Drosophila melanogaster: one gene and its partners. The protein of the gene in region 2 interacts with the protein of the main gene of each other region in a pairwise test. Each region holds a gene or a part of one and is shown on either strand. Other genes may lie near its edges.

The links. The genes of interacting proteins can lie anywhere in the genome.
Region 1: the proteins of eIF4E3 (region 2) and eIF4G1 interact in a two-hybrid assay, tested with the Drosophila melanogaster proteins (one study listed by BioGRID).
Region 3: the proteins of eIF4E3 (region 2) and mxt interact in a two-hybrid assay, tested with the Drosophila melanogaster proteins (2 studies listed by BioGRID).

Annotation. Positions count from the first base shown.
Region 1 is NC_004353.4:926,377-933,419, reverse strand, and holds the start of eIF4G1 (eukaryotic translation initiation factor 4G1), read left to right. Parts: upstream 1-2,704; 5' UTR 2,705-2,908; exon of another isoform or gene 2,909-3,138; intron 3,139-3,288; 5' UTR 3,289-3,340; intron 3,341-3,396; 5' UTR 3,397-3,520; coding exon 3,521-3,598; intron 3,599-5,268; coding exon 5,269-6,027; intron 6,028-6,758; coding exon 6,759-7,043.
Region 2 is NT_037436.4:8,226,443-8,232,234, forward strand, and holds eIF4E3 (eukaryotic translation initiation factor 4E3), read left to right. Parts: upstream 1-2,781; 5' UTR 2,782-2,939; coding exon 2,940-2,991; intron 2,992-3,056; coding exon 3,057-3,315; intron 3,316-3,381; coding exon 3,382-3,456; intron 3,457-3,510; coding exon 3,511-3,610; intron 3,611-3,673; coding exon 3,674-3,761; intron 3,762-3,818; coding exon 3,819-3,979; 3' UTR 3,980-4,126; downstream 4,127-5,792. Other genes in the region: CG7213 (uncharacterized protein), read right to left, coding at 5,522-5,714.
Region 3 is NT_033779.5:4,840,745-4,850,166, forward strand, and holds mxt (mextli), read right to left. Parts: upstream 6,552-9,422; 5' UTR 6,495-6,551; exon of another isoform or gene 6,420-6,494; intron 6,021-6,419; exon of another isoform or gene 5,972-6,020; intron 5,607-5,971; exon of another isoform or gene 5,535-5,606; intron 5,473-5,534; 5' UTR 5,300-5,472; coding exon 4,898-5,299; intron 4,832-4,897; coding exon 4,510-4,831; intron 4,415-4,509; coding exon 4,343-4,414; intron 4,029-4,342; coding exon 3,968-4,028; intron 3,903-3,967; coding exon 3,425-3,902; intron 3,368-3,424; coding exon 2,974-3,367; intron 2,915-2,973; coding exon 2,316-2,914; 3' UTR 1,840-2,315; downstream 1-1,839. Other genes in the region: CG12194 (uncharacterized protein), read left to right, coding at 1-69, 140-239, 392-449; CG11927 (uncharacterized protein), read left to right, coding at 7,111-8,580; mRpS2 (mitochondrial ribosomal protein S2), read right to left, coding at 8,768-9,422. UniProt on the Drosophila melanogaster protein: Plays a role in promoting translation.

The DNA of each region.
Region 1 (7,043 bases), on a different chromosome or scaffold from region 2:
ATTCGCGTGTACCTATGTACGCAGTCGATGGTAAATTATGCCTTCAGCACAAGGACACTTCGTGCCATTTGGACTTACAATCCGATCTAGACAGATTTCGAATATGGTGCCGTGATAACGTATTAGACTTAAATGGCTCCAAGTGTAACGTTATGACTTACGCTCTAAGTGGGCACCCACCCAAAGAGCACTCTTTGGAGAGAATAACACGGGTTGATGATCTTGGTGGTCTTCTGGACCCTAAACTAAAATTTTCTGACCATATTTCGTCTATTGTCAATAAGGCCAGGGGTGTGCATGGTTTTATAAAAAGGTGGTCTAAGGAATTTGATGATCCTTAATTGACTAAAACCTTATTTATTTCGTTAGTCCGTCCGATTCTCGAGTACGGATCACTATCACCTGTTTGGAGTCCACAATACGCAGTCCACTCGGACCGCATTGAATCGGTCCAAAAAAACTTATTACGTTTTGCTTGCGGCGCCTAAAGTGGGATGCAAACCGTATATTACCTCCTTATTCCAGTACACTACGTTAATTTAATTTACCGTCCCTAGCTAACCGTAGAACCAAAGACACTAGAATAACAAGATGCGTAACGCCATACGATTTTTTGGCACACGATTTTTTCGCCGTGGCTCTAGAGGTGGCTCCAGGCTCTCTCGAATTTTTGTTAGAGAGCGAGAGAGCGGAGAGTGCTACAGCGAACAGCTCTTTTCATCGCATAAAGTGATAGCAGACAACTGTATGTGTGCACACGTATGCTCGCTCATGCATTGTAAATTTCACAAAATATGCCCTTCACCTTAGAAGTTCTTTGACTTTAAATCTATATTATTTTTGATCAATTGGCACCATGCGAAAAATTCTTGTTTTGCATTGCCTTAACGTTATTATTATATGAAAATAGATTAGAAATAGCCAAATCTATGTACATATTATCACAAAAATAAATTTCAAAAATGACTTTATATAAGAATATTTGTCATTAGAGTATTCATCTTGCGGCGTGTGAAAAATTAATAAGGCAATGATTGTTGAGTGCTTGTGTCCGTACTTCGTGCTTCAAGATATGAACAAAGCAAAGACACTAGAATAATTCTAGTGTCTTTGATATGACTTTTGCAATAAACAGTTATCATATTTAATTATTTACTATATTTATTATGTCATTTGACTTTATATGATGTAACATTAACATTAAAAGTGTTTAAAAAAAAAAATATTTCGCTTTCTTAAAAAATTGTCAGATGAGAGACAAATTAGAATTAAACATAAATATAAATGTGTAAACGGTAGCTAATTCGAGCGGCGATTTTAACAAACAAATTTAAAAAGCTTTAAAATGATAATAGTCAGTTAAAAATTATTTTATTTTATCATATTGCTACGAAATTGGCAAAAACTACCCTAATATGTACAATGTAAATTCGTTTTTTCGATCAGAATTGATTTCGGTCCGAAAATCGTCTTCTAGCACAACACGCACACATATATGCGTTCTCGTCTCTTGTTTTTACTCACACAAGCAAGCAAATTCTATTTTTAGATTTCTTATGCTCTCAGCGGGAGCGAGCGGAAAGAGAGCAATTTTGGCCGTCACTAAAAAATTGGCTGCATAGTGCCAAACCAATGTATGGCCGCTACGCATCTTGTTATTCTAGTGTCTTTGGTAGAACTATGCTTGGAACAGTCTTTATTTGTAAGCTTATTCGTGGGGATGTTAAGAGTTCTGACTTGATTAGTCGGCTTAACTTCTCAGTTCGAAGTAGTTCTCAGTAGTAGTTCTCAGTTCCTTATTTCAGTTCTCAGTTCCTTATTTTAAATCATTGTAGATCTAACTATGAGTTGCGTGACCCTTACAGAGTATTATGTTCTGATTATAATAGACTTTATCCTAATATCTGTAATCTTGACTCTCTGCCGCTCACAAAGCAATTGATTTTACCTTTTTTTATTTTATGATTAGATCCTACTAACAGTAATATTTAATATAGTTATTTTATATTATATTCATTTCCTCGATCCTGTTCTCTTTTTTATATCGCGTCTATCCTCTCGCTAATCGAGGCGTACGATACACGGCAGCGCCCCTCGTTCGGTTGGTCGGGAGGTGTCGCCGTTGGACCCGTGCCAAAAAAAAAAAATATATAATAATAATATAAAATAATTGGGTCTGAATACGGATTATTTTTGTTTTGATTTAAATTCTTTTATTTATCGATATTTTGATGTAATATAGAATCGTTTTTTACCAATTTCTTTATTGTCATATGTATTTTAGTCAGTGTGAAAGGGTCTTATTTTGGCCATAATTAACTAATTATATTTTACGTTCAAGAAACCCTAATTACGATGAAATTAACATTTTGTTTTAAAGTTGCCCATATGTTGTATTCTTAGATATAATGATCTATTTAGCCATGTTGCGGAAAGGGCTCATTATCAGGAATTGAACGCTGGCATAGCATGTACAATCATTATTATAATTTTGGCAAACCTCAATAGAATAAACGTATTATGAAGTAGTTTTAGTAAATAATTAACATTGAAATATGATTTTTTTTTTATTTTTAAAAACTTATGGTTAGCAAAAAATTAAATTATTAATGATGAAGCGTTTAAAAATGTGACCTAACTATCGTTGATAATGATATTCTTCAGTTATCACTATTTCTTGTGTGCTATCGATGTTTCAAATAATAAATGCAACTCTGTTCGTATGAACAGAACACATTGCATGTGGAAATTATTAAAAAATAGTTTTTGAATGTAAAGATAAAGCTGGAATTACTGCTTCATTTTTATAAATAAATACATTTTTAAAATACACTTAAAGTGGAATTCTTAACATTTGTATTTTTTGTACATAATCACGTCGGATAGGCACATACAAACATTTGCTCAGGTAAATTGATGGTTAATAATGAGCACTGGGCAACAAATATTACATGATACTTTGCAAGTTTACTGTGCACAGTGAAGGGAAAAAAGATTTTACCACTAACATTCTGAAATGTGTCTTAACTTTTTAAAAATGATGTAAACGATGGAATTCGTGGCACGTTTTCACCATATGCACCATTGTGATTGTGAGAACGAAATCTCCAAAGTCACAACGGCAACGTCGGCAAATAAGTAAGGCTCCAGGATGGATTGGCAAATGTTTAATAGAAATTATCTCTGGGCTTCAGCTCTAGACTTAATAAATTACAAAATGTCTACTTTATATTTTTGAAACATTTGGGTGAAATCTTTTGTGATATTTAATGATTTTATACGTGTCAGTTCTTTTAATTTCAGAGACCTCTCTGGTAGCTGTATATCAATATATTTCCAGGTAAAATATGCAGAACTGAAACGTGGACAATTAATATTCATTAATATTCATTAAAGAATCAAATGATTGAATGACGTCGTATTTGTGGGTCCAAAATCACCACAGAAATCGTCTATGAAACGGTAAATCTAACCGTTTGGCGATTTCCTACAGAGCTAACTCTAGGAATACACATACGTAATGCAACAGGCTATACCAACTTTACCAACACAATCAGATATAGATAAAGCCATGCAGCCCCATTCAGCACAAAATATGGTAAGTCGATATAAAAATAACATCTCCAAAATTATTTACATATATACATTTTGACATTATTTGCTGTATTACTTTCCTTGCAATTGTTTTAAATTAGTTCGTTAAATAAATATGTTTTCCTAGTTCCGAAAAGAGCTAAAACCTATTTTTTATAAGTTTGCCTGCTGTAGTCAATGTAAACAATCTATTAAGATAGTATCACACTTCTCGTACAATAACAGCAAAGTTTAAAAAGAAAATGCTATTTTTGTGGAATTTTTTTATATGTTTGTTTTATAAATATTGCGGTTTGTATAAAAGGTATATAATTCAATTAAAAAATTTATAAAATATATGTTTGCGATTACAATTATTTAAGTTACTTACTAAATGAATTAAAAAATTAAAAATTTTTTTAACGAACTTGATTGAATACTAATAATTGTTCTAGTCCTGTAAAGCTACATAATTCATAAATGAAGCTCTTCCGGGCATGGTATGAAGTACTTTATTTAAAACCTAAACTATAAAAAACCGCGTTTTTCCAAACATACATAAATCATATAGTTTTTATCGGTAAAAATATTAATTAAAAAAATTTTTATTTCAACGGTGGCTCCAAAAATGGATGCTGAATCTGGTTTGTTGGTAACTGGCAGACACTCAGCAACGTAATTTTAAAGCTAAACTCAAAACGCATTGTGATTAATCTATCCAAGGGAAAAAAAATATTCGAAATGTATTTTATTATATTGATTTAAAGGATTAATGATTTCACATATCCAAGTCACAGAATCAGTCCATATATAATAGTCCCTAATATAATAGTTTCGTTGTTTTTATTCATAAAATGTCAACTTGATATTGTATTTTATAGTGATGTCCTTTTGAAGGGCTTAATGATATAAGGCATATATTTAAATCGCAGTAAAAGAGATATTTGGGACCATATAAATTATATATATATTCTTTATCAGTATCAGCAGCCGAGTAAAATAAATATAAAATAGTCCAGAAGATAATAGCTTCATACTTTTTATTTCTGAATGACAACTTGATATACACCGTTTTTTGACCGCGTATAACTTTGGTTTTAAGGCTAATTGTCAACATGCCGGCGACGACTAAGGAGCAACAGTCGGAAAATTAAATGAAGCTATAACAAAATAAATAATAGTTTAATTGTTTTTAATCATTTAGTGTTCTTATTTTGTACGCACAACTTTTTTTTTATTAATTAATTAATCTTGTAATCTATCATTTGAACTGTGTTAGACAGCTAAATCCCATAAACATTATTTGTCCATAGGGGACGTAGGACAAAAACTCTAAACCCTAATAAAATTATCAAACCCAATGCATGTTTTATATATATTTGTTAATTCTGGATTTATTTATCACAAAATTTGAGGCTGAAAAGTATTAAAAAATCTGCATAAGTATAATATTCAAATTTCACAGTGCAGAAGTGTAATACTACTCAAAATTCCGATTCTTGATTTCTCAGTTTCATTTTATTTTTAAATGGGTTTGTTTTGGTTTTTTTAATACTTTGTTTAAGTGCAATAAAGTAGGATTAACCAATTATCTAATAGTTTTTATAACTTATATATTCGGCAACATTTTTTTTTAATCATTGTTAAATCAATTTTACAGTCCGAAAATGTTCCCACTCTTGTGATCTGTTGTAGATTTTGCCAGCCAATAAAAAGACCAAAAAGTATGATCAACAGGTGCCAACTTCAAAGCCACAATCTCTTCATCAGCCTCTTCAACCGCAGCATAGCCATCCCACTGCTCAGCCTCAGTTTCAGATAAATAAGGCATACAATGTGGTCTCCATTCTTAAGGCATCAGCGCAGATCGCTCAACAGTCCCCACACTTGACGAATCAGCAGCATCCACCAATCCATCACCCACAGCAAACACAGCAGCATCAACAAAGCTATACAAACGTTGTAAATAGAAGCTTATCTGCGTCTGAACCAGTTAGAGCCCAGTCATCGGTTATCTGTAACGGTTCAAGCATATTGACAGTAAATAGTAGACAACTGAATTCGGGTGATATGAATTCGACTGCCATTTATAACATATCCAGTTACCGAAAATTAACTGGAAGTCTAGATGGAAATGTTTGCTTTCTAAATGTACAGGACATTAAACAAAATGGCAACATCAGTGGGTCAGTAGTATCAAATAAGTCCATCGTCGGAGTCGGAAGTGAAAAAAGTTCTTGTACTGGAGTCAGTATTAACAACCAAATAGTATTGCCTAATGCGCAAATAGGAACATCTATGGGAATAGCTGGAACAACTACAGCAGGCACAAGCTACATGCACGAAAAGAATATCGTTGGCGTTAGCGTCAATTGTGTTAATACTAGTAAAAAGTATGATTTCAATAACAGTAGTTTGTTATCAAATAATAGTTACCCGGCATCTACAGCAGAGGTAAACCTTGCAAATTCTGTGACTTTAGGAAGAGATTCATTTTAAATAATTCTTAACTTCATTTCACCTCCCTTTTTTTTAATAATTAGTTTTTAAATACTTTAGGTCCCAAAATTTATTAAATATCAATACGATTTTTTATTTAATGAGCAGTTTTTCTTATAATGTGAATATATGTATACTTTTATATTGTACTCACAGTGCCTAATGTAATGTAAAGAAACCAAGAAACCCGCTATAGTCGAGTTCCTTGACTAGCTAGTTGGAGGCGAAAAAAATGGGGAAGAAAAAATATAGAAATACAAATCATTTAAACATTTTGGAAGATTGGGGGCAGCCTTTTGCGCTTTAAGGGCGTTAGGACATGCCGATATAAATTGGCAAGACAAATCACCAAATAACCAACGGATTCTGCTTGCGTGATCTCAACTTTCTGACACAATTCCCAAAATCGTTACGTTCATAAGGCTAGATCGACTCGGCTAGTGAGGCTAATAATATATATATATATATATATATATATATACTCTATAGGGTCTGAAACGCTGCATTCTAACTGCTACTTTTCAAAGAATTTAGTATAACCTTTTCCTCTACTAGTATATATTAAATATTTATTCTGATTATTTAAGTTTTACATTCTTCACTGCATTATCTTTATAATAATAATAATAATAATACAATCCATTTCTTTCTCTTACTGATTATTAAATTCTTTTAAATACTTTCAGTATGTATCAACGGGAAACAACAATTCTGGGAATACCCGTTCTAATCCACAAAGTGGCGGAATATTTCGAGGACCACCCTCGACGCCTAATGCCCCTAGAGGTGCTAGTGGCGGAGCAACACGGCATGTCCATGTGCAACCCATGTACTCACAACCCCTTCACCAGAACATGGTGCTACAACAATACACACAATATAACCCACGGCAACAAACATTTCCAGCTTCTCATTTGCAATACGCACCCGCCCCCATGCCATACTACCAGTACCAATATGTCCCAACTCTT
Region 2 (5,792 bases):
TAATTTACGCGCTGCTATTATTTTAATCTTTTGCGCTACACACAGCGTGAAATGACTTTCACCTGGCCTCGAGCAGCGGCTTCAAAGATATAGAAGCTATAGCTCCAAGTCGGGGTAGCCAGCGCCCAGAGGCGTCGTCTTGGTCCAAAGTATTTAGCACTGCAAAGAGGCACATATACGGACACCCATGGGCAAAATAATAGGAGAGGCTCAGCTGGATAATTTTGATAATCAATATATTAATCAAATATATTAATATTTCATATTATATTGATCAAATATAATATTTAAAAAATAAAATAAAAATTACATGTTCAATAATATTTACATCCAACCATAATAAATAGATAGCACAACACATTATCAAATTTTAAAAATAATAATTTAATGATTTATAATACAATTGGGTCAAATGTAAAGAAATTATTCTGTCAAACAAACATGAAAATGATTTGGCATAATAATCAATAACTATTTTCTAGAGCCACTAAAATTTTCACTTCTAGTGTGGCAATACTTAAGCCTCGTACACCTGTATCTTTTTGTCCAGGTGAGAGGGCCAAACGACAACTGGGGGCGTGGCAGCTGAAGCAAATGGGCCAGATGGAGCAGACGGACTGGGGGCTGCCGGAAGCTGCTGTCAGTTGGCTTGGCCTTAAGGTGCTGGATGTGCAGGATGTGTTGTCGCTACCCATCCCCGACACTTACCACTGCTTTTTATTGTTTTATGTGGCTGTCTTTGCCCGCAGTGGATGGGGCGGAGAAGCGGGAGTGGAGGAGAGCATCTCCTCCGCTTGCCACTTCAAGGTGCAAAATGTACGACGTGCGTCGTTCCGTACATCATCGCATGCTTTGTGCTTTCAGCACTGAAATCTTTTACAATCAACATGAAGCAGCAGCAAAGCAATTTTGTAGCCAAAAAAAAAAAACAAATAAAAAAAAAGAAGAAAAGACAGCCGAACGGAAGCGAAACGAGAAATGGCGGGGTAAAACCGGAGCGAACATAATGCCTCAAATCATTTTCATTTCTTGCATGCGCTTGTCTGCACAGAACTGCCTCAAGATGAGGTCCTAGCTCTTGGATACTTGAGTCCTTGGATCCTTGGCTTCTTCTTGTAGTTTGCCCCATTTACGCGCTTTTCCCCTTCGTTTTCCCCGGCAGTTTGTGGGCGTTTTTACTGCTTCGGCACTCAAATCGCTTAAGCTGGTGCGGGAGCCATCCCCCCATAGACTCCCTCAACATTACAATATTTTAAAAGATTTACTGACCATGTATTTTCAGCTCAGCCAGCAAAGTGCAAAAAGCTGTAAAATATTGCGTATACGCCAAAGTGCCACCTGAGAAGAGCGGAGCACAAAGTCAAATCTAACAAAGCATAGCTAAGCGTTTGCCGGCAACTTAACTCGAATGGGGGAGAAGCCCCAAAAAAAGAGTTGGAACTAAAGTTTTCCCTCTCGGGAATTTATGGGCTACCAACTCCATTTGGAGCAGGTAATTTTTAGTTATGGGATTCAAGGAATAAACAGGCATGTCAAAAAATATAAATATTAAAAACCAGCAGTAGCTGAAAAAGTTTTATCTATTGTTTAAGTGAAGAGAGGAAGGGAATAACGTGCGATACGAGCTTATAAAATGTACTTTAAGTTAAGATAGTCTAGATATTAAAACACTTTCTAAAATTTTACAATTCCTTGTTTTAACTTATTCTCCCAATTAACGAAACAAATTTGGAGCAGTTTTTTCCTCAAAAAATCCCAGAAATACGAGCTGGAGCAGCCGCCAAAGCTGCTTAAAAGCAAAAATAAATAGAATTTTTAAGTAAATTGGGGCTGGCAACTTATTTGGCTGCGAGAACCAAGAACAAGGAGCAGTGCCAACACTTTTGTTCCAAACTTGGCCGGCATAACTCACCCGTGCATCCAGCAGATGGAGATGGAAACGGAGATGGAGCTGGTGCGGAGCATCTTGGTTGGAGTGCAAGTTGGTGCCACCGCACCACCAGCCGCGCAACAAATGGTGCACATTACAAGGGCCCAAAGCTACTTTGCCAACGCCAAAGGAGCTGCCACGTAGCGACTCACATATTTTATTATCTGCACCGCCGCCAGGGGCGTGGTGATGGGTTCGGGCAGGGGTGAGGTGTGGGGCTTTGCCAAAGGACTCCGGCACGGAGGGACCCAGGACCTTGTGTGTGCAACAAGGCGCACAACTTAAGCGGCGAAGACAAATTTTTATTGCCACAAGCCCAAGTCGATTTCGATTATTGACTGCAGGCCAAACTGTTGCACAAGGAGCAGCCAGAGCAGACAAGAAAGGGGGATTCCTCTACTCGCTCCAGTTCCATTCCCAATCGTATCCGTCTTTCCGGCTGCCAACTTTGTGTGGCCGTGTCTGTGTCTGTGGTTGCTGTCGTCGTCGCTCATTTGAGTCACATTTTATTATTTTCGTGCATTTATCGTATGCTCGGTGGCATTTTATTTTATTAGCGTGACATTTCAATTGATAGACCCTCGGGCTCGTACTTAACCGACTCAATTTGATTTTGCAACCAAAATGTGCGAATGGGAGCTGCAATATCGGAGTGTTTGAATGGGGTGCTTAAGACTTGGATACAAGATTTATTGATGAAATAATGGCAGGATGTACCATAAAATATTTTAAATAATAAAGGCGATAAAGGGATAGAGTCTTTTGAAAATAAGCATATTACGCAACGAGATGGTCACATGACTTTTCCAATACTTTTTCATAACCAAGGTGGCAACGCTTTAGCTGTCATATCTTGATTTGTCAAAGTGTGCACTCATGTTAAGCCATTTTCATTAACGCTTATACTTTGCACGAGACATATACCATTTCAAGGAGTTTTTTTTAGTAAAATAAAACGAGAAAACTAACAAAAAAAGGTTCGTTTATCGCATTGAATCAATAAAAAACAATGGTGTACACCGGTTACGTAAGCAACGGATTGCAGAATGCTGAGGAAACTGGTAAGCTGACAGCAGATCTTTTTTTTTACGATTCATCATTCGATATGCGAATCGAATATATTTAGCATGGGTGCCGTATGGAGATCCCAATGACTGGTCACATGGTCTGGCAGTTTATGATGGTTTGGAACTGATGAGCGGCAATGAGGAGGAGTTGCAGCCCTCATTGAACCGGGTGATGAAAAACATCGACTACGACCTGGCCATGAAGCATCCATTGGAGCATACCTGGACTTTGTGGCACTTGGAGAACGATCGTACCAAGCGCTGGGCCGAAATGCTCGTCGATGTGACCAGCTTCAACACCGTTGAGGACTTCTTCAGGTCAGACACAGATTCATATATATATATATATATCCTATATATATATATCCTATTCTATTTCGACAGTGTGTACTACTTTGTGAAGCCGCCATCGGATCTGAAGATATTCAATGACTACATGGTCTTCAAGAAAAATATTCGGTGAGTTCTGAAAGTCTGCTCTTTGAACCTCGTCTTATGTATATAAATATTTAGTCCCATGTGGGAGGATGACACCAATAAGAACGGTGGTCGTTGGATACTGCTCCTGGACAAGGCCTCCAGGACCTATATAGATAAGATGTGGCACGATTTGGTAAGCCACATGATTGCACCATAATTATAAGCTCAATGCATTATAAAGCATTATCTCCTTTAGCTTTTGTGCATGATTGGCGAGTGCTTCCAGCACTCGGACGAGATATGTGGAGTGGTCATCAATGTGCGCAACAAGGCTAATAAGCTATGTGGGTATAAGACAGCATTTCACATTGGGGTATCTCTAAGGTCAACTTTCTTTACAGCCCTTTGGACGAAGGACTCTCGCAATGTAGAGGCTATCCTGTCCATTGGCAGGCAGATAAAGGAGCTGCTGCATCTGGGCATTATGGAAATCCAGTACCAGGTGCACAAGGATGCCATGGTGAACCATGGACCCAATGTCAATGCCATCTACACATTGTAGGCCAATTTCCAAGGGCGCCATAGTACATTTCCAACGATAGTACATAAGCCTTATACATTTGTCAAACTCACATTTTATCCCACGCGCACCAATGCTTTTCGAGATAGATATCGGTTGTACCATGAATAAAGTATTGCGTAGAGCAGTAGAAACAGTAACTACTTTCTGGCCACGATTCGTGTGCCGGTATCCCGAGGCTACTATAGTCGCCTCACGTATTCCCCGGCGGAGTGGGAAACACATACTCGCTTCACTACGATTATCCTTGGCGTCATAATTTTGGGTGACTCTGCCCATCCTTTAACGGCTGCCATCGCGCGCCAAGTGCTTATTCCTTCCTATGTGTGTGCGTCGTCCTTTCAGGGCTTTTGTCTTCCGTGCTGCTGCGCATAGCAAATTGTGACCAATTTATGGAAATATGCTCGGGAAGCGCAATATCCTCCATTTCCAGGGAAGTGCTGCTAGTGCTCCTAGCAGGTTTTTCATTCTATATTCCAAATATATATATATTCCATATTCCAAAAACTAATATTTCAGATAGTATTGCCGGTATTCCTGGAAATCTCAGCACCTATGATATGTATAATATTTCTGCTCACATACTAAATGATATTTGAAAGTGCAAAATATTCAGACCCTGAATTGTCATCACTGATGCCCATGTAAGTCGTATGATTTGATTGCTGTAATTTGTAAGGATTTTGCTTTTATTGTTTTATTGAATTATGAAGTGGCAGCCACCAAATGACTGGAACGTGATACACTGCACATGGGGTTATGTCAGTGCCAATGGCAGCGTATCTCCGACATCCTGTCCAACCTCCCGGCGATGTCACCCTCTTTCTTCTCCCTACCCGCCGCCGGACGAATCCTGCTTGATATGAACGGGATTCCTTGGCGCAGATGAATGCATGCAGTTATTCGGACCGTAATGTGAATTGATATGCCAACACGTACGCGGATTTGGAGGAGCAACTGATGCGGAGGACAGGTAACAGGTAACAACCTGGGATAGGGCAAATAGCTTACGCCCCGTGCCAAGCACTTAAAGAGCAATTTAATAACCGCTATAAAAGGTTTTCTCTCTTCGCCAAAGAAACAAAAGCCAGCCAGGGGGGATTCCCCTTCCTTTGGCAACGGCAAAAGCAAATAGAGGATAACTGGACAAACACAAACAGAGAATATCCGGCAAAGGGCAGCACTAATGTTGCAGACTTCTCTCCTATATTAAATGAAATGCAAGCTTAATTGAAAAACGCTGACTTGGCTGCACTGTAAAAAAAAAAATGTTATAGATAAAGCACGATCAACTTGATATGTACATTCTTCGCCCAACAATAATATTATTTATATAAAATATTTAAAATATAAATAAAAATCTTCGATGAGTATCAGAGTTCCAAATAACTATGTAGCATATATTTGAATATTTTTCAGTGTTTTTATTTTCGGATTTTCTTTGCCATCCTCCTGTTGCTGCAATGAGAACTACGTAGCCTGTTGCAATTTTAATTAAACAAAAAGCGTAAAATGTTTGACCATTTACACTGTGCCGTCCTGTTGGTCCGGATTCGACTTCTTTGGGACAGAGCTGCGTTCTCCCAATCGTCTTTGGCACGTAAATTTCCTTTGCCAACGAGCACGAAATTGTTTGGCCCTCCGCTGGTGTCCTGTCCGCTGGTGTCCTGTGTCCTCGACGCCCGAGTCCTGTTGTTGTCCTCGTGTCCTTTTTGCGCTGCAAAACAAATTAATTGTCTGTTTTTCACATAAACTTTTGTCGGTCTCCAGTTGCCGCTTAGCTCACAGCTCCCGG
Region 3 (9,422 bases), on a different chromosome or scaffold from region 2:
GCATCATTGTGGACAGCAGCGGCGGCAGTCACTTCTGGCTGCAGGTATTCTTCATGTCCTTCCTGCTGGGTAAGAGTCTAATCTGCTCATATGTATGCGCTGTGTGTTGAATACGAGTTAATTCCATCGCATTTTCCAGTCTCCCTGCTGGCCACCTGTGCGATTTGGGCCTACAACCGCAAGCACCAGGGCAACTTGAACATGTCACCTGCCCAGCGGGCCACATACCACACCTCGATGTACGTGAATATTGAGTCGAGTTGAGCATGCTATTGATGTCTTGCTGTTGTGTTCTAATCCCATATCCGATGATGACACTTCTCCACTTCAGCCCCTGACTAATTAACGTTCTTTTTCTAAATGTATATTTGCTTTGTGTACATGCCAAAAGCGCGATGCAGTGCCGCCACATGAACAGGCGGCCTTTATTGGGCAACTATGTGCAATAGATCGATTCTGTTTGTTACTAACCAATAACCAATTGCGATGCTAATGCCATTTCCACTACACTTGACTTGTTATGCAACTCGGAGCACATTCTGCTAGCCGCACAATCGACGTGGTCATTCGATCTATTTTACTCCTCCTAGCCAACGTTCTATGATGATACATATCAAACTTTAAACTATTGTTATATTTATGTTCCATTGTGTGTGATAAATAAATTTATGTAAATGTACATTAACCAAATTAAATAACCAAAGATTTGGAGTTTTGGGCGAAAGAAGGTGTGTTTTGATCTTGATTCCATTTTATTTCCTTGCAAATATCTTTTTGAAGAATATATGATTTGTATTTGTACAAAATAAATAAAATAAATTAACTAAAGCATAAACAGAAATTCAAAGAATTTGGTGTGAATTTAACAAAATAGTATACAAATTTCTATGATGCATAGACTAGAGAAAACAAAATACAATTTCAAATCTTGAAAAGTGACATTCAGCGCAAGTCACAAGAGAATTACAAAATAATAATAATAAAACACATAGATGAATTAATACATTTCCATTTCCGTTTTGAGAATTATTTGGTTGGGAGAAACAAAGTTTGCGTAAGGATGAGAAACAAATTTCCAACTAAAAACGTGTCATTCTCTATTGAGTTACTAAAAATGCATTCCATTTCATTTGGGCCATATTATCAAGTTAGGGCCGCTTCGAGGCTTTTCATTTAGCTGCATTTTTTGAATTAGTATATATTGGGAATATTCCGGATTCCCATTTCGATTGAACTTAACTAAGAGCTTCGTTGAATTTTCTAGTTATTTTGAAATTTTTGATTATTTCGTTGGTAATTTCTAGGGTTAGTTTGCATATTTTTCAATATTCTTTTTTTTTTGTTTGTTTTGTTTTGGTCGTTTTGAGTTTGCGATTGTTAGATGTGGCCATGGCCAAAAGCATTGAAGCATACTGCAGCTCCGTCTGGGAGCAGGCACTTCACCCCGGGACACTCTATATTGTCAGTTCGAGCCGCTCGATTGATGGCTTTATTCGTCCAGAGTCTCGACCTCATCGGCAGCCACAATGTCTCGCTTGGCGGCCGTCTTAATGCTGGCCAGATACTTATCACCATCGAAGCGCTGGCTCTCATCCTGCAGATCCTGTTGTCGAACAAAGAAATGGTTTAATATCTGATTTCAAAGTAACATTGACACGCAAGCTATCCAGGGATGAACGAACATATATACATACGGAACAGTTTAGTAACTAAGTTAGCCATCTGGAGTGGTGGTTAGGTGGTGATGTTATGATGCTTCGGTGGTAAAACACAAGTTACAATTTATAATTTACAATGTGTGGGGTGTGTGGTGGTGTAAGTTAAACCCAGCCAAGCTTTGTTACGGACTTTGAAAGTCCTGTTTATTAGTTAATATAAATCGTATTGATTACAGATTTGTAAATGTTGGTTTGAATTCGAGAATGTTTGTTTGTTAGCGGTTAAGCGGTTTCAACCGCCTTTCCAGCTTATCCTTAGCGACGACTTAATCTGTTTCACAGCCAAAACACAGATTCTCCCTATAGTTACATTTTAATTTCAATGCATTATATGTATTGTTACCTCTAAGACTAGCGATCGGTTTGGTTTCGATGGTATGTCGTTAATCTAATGACTGGATGATGATAATGATAATGATGTATTGACTTGATTCATTATCAAGTTCTTCACGCTTCACCTTTTCTTAATGATAAGTTATATAAAATTAAAACAGCAAAAATACTGACATGAAAAGAAAAGCCTATCTGTGACTGAGATTCAATAATACGTATTCCGGCTACGTAAAATTAAATTAAATTAAATGAAATTAAATGAAATTACACATAAACGCGGTTATTATTCGATTCTGTTTCGCACAGTGCCAATGAAAACTCATCGTCCTCGCAGTAGCGTTGAAAAATTGCCTTCACTTGTGATGTTTGATAGCTAGACTGGCGATGCTTTCCTTGTGTTGCCACCGATTGACCCACAGTATTAGTTATGATTTGCAATTGCTTGTTATACAGGTTTCGATCGGACACGGCCGATGTTTTGGGAAGGCGACGGTTCTCGCGTTCGGCGAAGATCCCTTTTGATTGCTTGTTAGTGACGGTTAGGGGATTGTTGTCTGCCGACGCATCGACAGCAGCTAGTCCAACGGCGGTGCTGATGATATTTGTGTTCGGGGAGGAGGTTATTGCATTTAAAGCCCACGGATGTGTTATTACTGATGAGTTAGGTGCACTGGCGATGATAGCATCGGGGATGTTCGAAGAGTAAGCCGTACGGCCAAGTGAGCCATCGAACGGCGAAATTACCTTGTTGCGCAGAATCGAGGGCGCTGTCTCCTGCATCTTTTGCCAGTCGGTGGGCAGGGTCCACGAGTGCGGACTCATGGAGTAGTAGAGCAAGTGTTCAATATCGTAAGAAACGCGAGCTGTAATTTAAGTTTAAGCATCAAAGACTTGGTTAAGCATAAAAGGATTGTAATCTTACATGCATTGCTTTTCAAGGAATTGGTGCCTGCCAAATCGTCCAAGTCACCCTTTTCCCGAGCGCCCTTGGTCTCCGGCGTGGACTCCTTGCGCGAAAAGTGGCTGCGACGCGATCTGGCCAGTCCATTCTGATTGCTAGTCGATGATCCTCCATTGCTGGGCTCAGCGAACACCTCGTCGTCGCCTTCACCATTGTTGTTCGCTGACGAGGAAACAACGCAATTCAGTCCAATGCCACTGTCCGTGCCGGGCAGCCAAAATTGCGGCGGCCCGGCTCCGGGAAGCGGAGTCGATGGCGTGGTCACCAGCGAAGTGCCGTCGAAGGCGGCGCCAGCCTCAATGGATGCCAGAAACTCCGAGCTGCTAAAATAGTCATCGAGCACGAGTTTGGCCACCTTGAAATCGCAGGGGATTTAACAAATTTCACAATTGAAAACTTCAACATTACTCACGCGCACTAGTTCGCAGCAGTCGCCGGTGATCTTGATCAGGTGCTGGCCCACGTTGACCGTGAACTTGTATTCACCTACGGAAGCATCGTTTGTGGAATATGAGTGCATTAGCAGCTGTTGATTGGGACGCAAGACTTTACCGGCAGCGGCTGTCGCCTGAGCATGTGCCGCCGCTGCTGCTGCGGCGGCTACTGCGGCGACCTGCTGCTGCTGTTGGTGCTGCAGGTGATGCGTTTGGTGGTGCATCTGCTGCGAGATCTGCTGTGCAGCAGCTGTGGCGGTCATGAAGTTTTGGGCCGAGTTAAAGCTTAGCCGGTTGGCCAAACTGCTTCCGGTTGGCGTTCTTGGTTGCACAATGGCGTCGTCCGAGTTGGACGAGTTAAGCGAGGAGCAGGATCCTCCAACGGCAGGAGCGGGTTCCAGGCGCACCGGCGAGGCGTTCCGACGAATGGTGTCCTCCATAAGTTGTTTGGCATAGCTGTCGTAGAATTAAAACATTTTGACATAAAGGTAAATTAGCTTTAATTTATTTACTTTACTCACTTAATTTTATCCTCAGCTGGACCAGTAATCTGCACCAAACGCTCCTTGGCACCCGGGTTGACTAATGAAAACAAGGCATTCATAATTGTTCTCGAAAAAAGCATTTATATTTATGAAAAATAATTGGGATGCGAAAACATTTAAAAACAAAATGCATATATACAGTATGAAAATATGTGATTTCAAAATGCCTTTAACGATCAATTTTGGCTTAATGTGGTGTCGTTGAATGGACAAAATCTGGAACATGCGTATTTATAATTTCTATTAGTAAATTTTGTAGAAGCCACCGGGCATTAATTGATTTAAATAAGCGTGCCAAATGAAATGGGGGTGCGGTGAGGATCACAATTAAAACCAGCTCTCTGGAGTTACCTCTTTGAAACGATATAATGGTTTCGCTTAGCTCCTCGATCATGTGCACGCGACGCCCCTTGATGCCCATTACTTTTTGGCCACGGGAATGGAGGAATACATTATTGAAAACCATTTCTGTAGATCTGTGTGCTCCAGAACACTCCTCAGCTGATTGAAAAACTTACCTTTGCCGGAGTCAGCATTGCGAATCACGACCTCGTCCTTGCAGTACGTCTTGCCAGGAATCTTGGTCGGTTTGGGGAACTTGCCCGAATTACGAATGACCTCACCGGGCGGCAGCAGCATGTGCTGCTGGTTGGATGTGCCCACGGCCGCAATGGCCGCAGCTTGGGCGGCTGCAGCTGCAGATGCTGCATTGAAGACGGCGGCAGCGGCGGCTGCGGCTCCATCGTTAACGCCACCAACACCGCCGCTGACGCCGAATGTGGGGGAGGTGCTGAAGGCGCCAGGCTGCACGCCGGCATCGTACTGGTATTCCGAAGGCAGCTGCAAAGCAACGATACATATTTGATCGTTTTCCAAAGTGAGATCGATTCTATGTACTCTACTCACCTCCACGTTGGAGATCTGCTGCTTGGACTTGTAGTACGCGATTGTGTCGTCATTGTCCCAGCTCTTGGCGCGCAGCTCGATGAGTTCGAGCAGCTTGAGGCGCGTCGTTATATTCAGCCGTTCGTCCTGCGAAGCGTTGCGGAAAACGACGAAGGCCCGGTCCAGTGTATCCTTGGACACCGCCTCCAGTTGCGGTCCATGCACCCGGAGGTTGTGCAGGAGCAGCGTGATCGATTCCGGCGTGGTGTTGCACGACTGAAGACCGACGGTCACGTTGTCTATCAACTGGATTAGCTCCTCGATCACCAGGTAGCTGTTCTTCAACGACGATCGCGATTGTGTCTTCAACGGGCGTGGCGCCTCAATGTTTTTCACGGCGCGTCCCAGGTGTGTGTGAGCCATTCTCGGGATTCGTTGGATTCGATATCGTCTCGTGAAGAAGTCTTAAGGTTGTCCCGCCTGGTGTCCGGATCTGCTGATTTCAGTCTATATGGTCTGCTAACTTATTCGTTCGTTTAAATGTTGTTGAAGAATTGATCAAAAATGAATCGTAGAAGCTGTTTCCGCACCTCCCCCTGTAAACACAAGAAAGGTTAGTTATCGATCAAATGTATTGTTTACATTAAAACTATTGTACTATTTGGATACATGCTTTCAGCTGCTAGGATGATCAAAGCCGACTATATTGCATTAGAACTTGGGAGTAATGGCCGAGAGCATGGACAACCAAAAGGTTTCTTAGGATATGGAGATTGGCCTCGTTTCCGACCGAATCTCGAATATTGCGACGCAAAGCTCTCGTATATCTTAACGATGTGCACGTTTGATAAGCGGCTTTAGCTGATAACACCGCGATTTATCTATAGTTTAGTGGCCAAATTAACCCATTGGCGCCTTCTGAGCTTCTGGCTTCTGCTCAGTTAATCGGTGCGAAGTTCCAAAAGCAAAATATGTAAATAATTGATGAAAATTGTTGGCATATATCGAATGGGAACGACAAACGGACGACCATTTGTGTTATTTCAGTTCGACTTTCGCTCCATGCGAACAACTCATTTCTTTTTTAAATATCACTTACTGCCGCTGCAGCAACAGCAGCAGCAGCAACAACAACAAGAACAAACAAACATGGGCAACTAAAACACAGCTAACAGAAATATTACAAAAAACTGAAATTGTCCGTGGGAGGGAGAAAGAGAGAGGCGATCGCTCTATTGAATCATATGTCGAGAATAGCAACAACAAGAATGGCCTCTGCCGACGTCGACGATGGCAGCGCAGTTGACGACCGTGTTGGGCGTAGAACAAAAAGGAAGTTAACTTTCAGGAAACAGGGTCTATATATCCATATATTGCATCCGTTTTCGGCCAAAATTCTCTGTGAAATTGAGTAATATTTTAATGGCACTGGCCGCTTTTCGTTAAAATAAGCAAACTACGCGTTTTGCTGGCGACCGACTTTGCACTCTCGTTCTAGTTTCAACACTTTTGATGTTTAGTCTTCGTCGCGCTTATTATTTACTTTAATGGCCGATTGAAACGTCTCTTAAAACGGTGTATTTTGGATCGTAATTTCCAATAAATTACTAGAGCTTACCAAAACCAAAATCTCTGCGACTGCGACTAAAATCGTTTTTTACGGTGGGTGTTGCCACCTGATCGAACACGTTAGATTTTAGAGATGCGCCACAGCTATCCAGACCAGTTCACGTAAAGCGCAGTCAAAAAGCTCACATCAATTTCGCATCACAGATGTGTTCGTATTAAAATTTAAATTTAAATATGAAATAAATGTTACGAAATCAGACACTTATCGCTGATAACCAACAATTCACTATGGTATCTGGACGCTGGGCAATTACTATTCCCCGCCGGTTGTGTCTGCATGGGATCGAAAATGTTAAATATATATTATATTACGTTGGGCATTAATATATCGCTTACTAGTTAACAAATGAAGATTTACTGGTATAGCGGAAAGTTTAGAGAATACATTTGGAAACTACTGTTCTTTTTTAAGAACAACAGGACTCTTAAGAAAATACTTCAGGGGAAACTCCCTAAAATTTTAAGCACGAAAATATCGATAGAAAACATCGGCTGTTCCTTCAATTTGTTGTTATTGAAATTTTTGTTTGCCATCGCTAAGCAAAACTCAAATAAAATTAAGTTGATATATTTATAAAGTGTATTCCCACTCTCTAAGGTGCGAGATGTCTGAAAACGGGGACGTGGAGGCGGCACCAGAGGATTCCAAGGAAGTCGTTCCGGAGTCCGGCAAAGATGAGCCTGAAACTAAGCCGCTGAAAATGTCGTTTGCAGATTGGAAGAAATGCAAGGATGCACTGAAACCGGATACCAAAAGCGGACTACAACGGAGCAACAATAACAATAGTAACAACAACAACAATAACAACAACGGCAACGGACGTAAACATTGGTCTTCGAATAGCAACAATGCCTTTCATGGAGGCGGAGGTCCGCAAAGCTACCAGGACAGGAACTATCCTCCGATGAATCGACCGCCTCCACTTCCTATGCAGCTGATGAACATGGGCTTTGGAGGCAATTTTGGGCCTGGACCCGGACAATGCGGTCCCCCCATGGGGCCAATGGGACCAGGAGGACCTCGCGGTCCCATAAGCAATATGGGTCCCTGTGGTCCCATGAGCAGTATGGGCCCCGGTGGTCCAGTGGGCTTTGGAGGACCACGTGGTTCTGGGCCCCGCCGGAATCACAATCACCGACCTCTGCAGCCGCCTCCGTTCTGGGAGGACATGATGTCGCCACAACATAGACCACCACCAATCCAACCGCCCATGCCCAAGTGCCCCAGCTTGTGGAATCTGGTACCCAAGGAGCAGGGAGCACAAAACAATCGCAGCAATCCAAACCAGAATAACAAGAAATTCAAGGTAAACCATCGCGGCAACAGTGACAAAGATACGAGGCTTATGCCTCCGCCCCCACCGCCAAGCAATGGCAACAATTCGCCGTCAAACGGGGAAGCGCAGCCCTCCAAGAAGCCCAAGCGCTGCGGCACATTTGTCCAGGTCAATGGCCAATGGATACAGAAGCCAGAGGCACCACCGCCGCTCGAGGATGCACCGCCTGGTACGAAGGAGGAGCGCCAGCGCCAGTGGAAGGAGTACCGTATGGCCATGAAGCCCTTTAAAAACCGTGAGTTCCACAACTGGAAGCGAACGGTGCAGCGTTTGGGGAAGCTGCCGCGCGACCAGCTGGACGAGCAGCAACTGGAACGACTACAGAAGGCCGAGGAGTATATAGTTGCGCACAAGGCGATGCTGACGGTGAAGCATGCAGAGCGCTGGGTGGAGCAGGACAAGAATGAAAAGGGCCAAGTGTTCGTGCGCAAGTCATCCAGCATCGGCTCGTGGGACATGTCCAAGGAGAGGCCGCCGAATGGTTTTGCGTCGATGCATGATTTCAAGAAGCAGCAAATGGATACGTTCTTCGGTCCCGGCCGTGCCATCAAAGGCGGTACGGATCTCTCCATCATTGGTACCTCAGCGCCGCCTCCGCCGCCACCTGACACCCCACCACAGATTACCAACTACTGGCCCTCTGGAAGTTCCAACAACACGGGGTCCAACTCCAATCCCTCGTATTTCAGCCACTACAGCAACAACTTTGTCAAGGGTGCCACTCTGCTGCCGCCCTAGAATAGCTATCCGAAACTAACCCAGGTCGTGGGTTTTCTTAAACACTATCAAATAGCATGGCACATGCACAAAGTTCTGCAATTTTGCAACCATATTTAGCAATTTCTTCTTCATCGTGGATTGACGGCCATTGGCATTTGTATTAAGATAAATGTAACAAAATCAACTTGACACTACTACTTGGCTATTACTTAGTTTTGCGACTGCGCCGCGGCTGGGATTCGTCCAGAGGCGGAAGGCCAAGGAGTTGGCGTCGTTCCCGCTTGCCACGCAGTATGGCTTCCTTGAAGAGGTTGCAATAGAGCTCCACTGCGGCCGGCGAGTCATCGTTGCCGGGCACCGGATAGGTGATCAGGTTGGGATTGCAATTGCTGTCCACTATGCCAATCGTTGGTATGGCCATTTTGGCGGCGTCCCGAACCGCCGTGTGCTGAGCCATAACGTTGTTTTGAGTGTTGAGGAAAATGCAAAGATCGGGCAGCCTGGTGACCGCATCGAATTGCACATTGGCATTGGTAAAGATGCCGCCGCGCCAAAAGCGAGTGTGCGAGAATTCACCGGCCTCCTGGGCCTTTCGCTCCACGAGATGTGAGTTCATGGCGTTGCGGTTGAAGAACAGAATGATGCCATCTCGGAAGGCAATGTGTGCGGCAAAGTTGAGGGCATCGCGCAGATGTGATGCCGTCTTGTCCAGATCGAAGATCAGATGACCTAATCGACTGCCGAACAAGTACGGACGCATTCGGTCGTCCAGGGAGCCCTCCTTGTGGCCATAGTGCACTCGGGCATTGAAGAGGTCGCGCACGGTGAACAGGTTGTGCACTTGGAAGTAGTCCGGATGC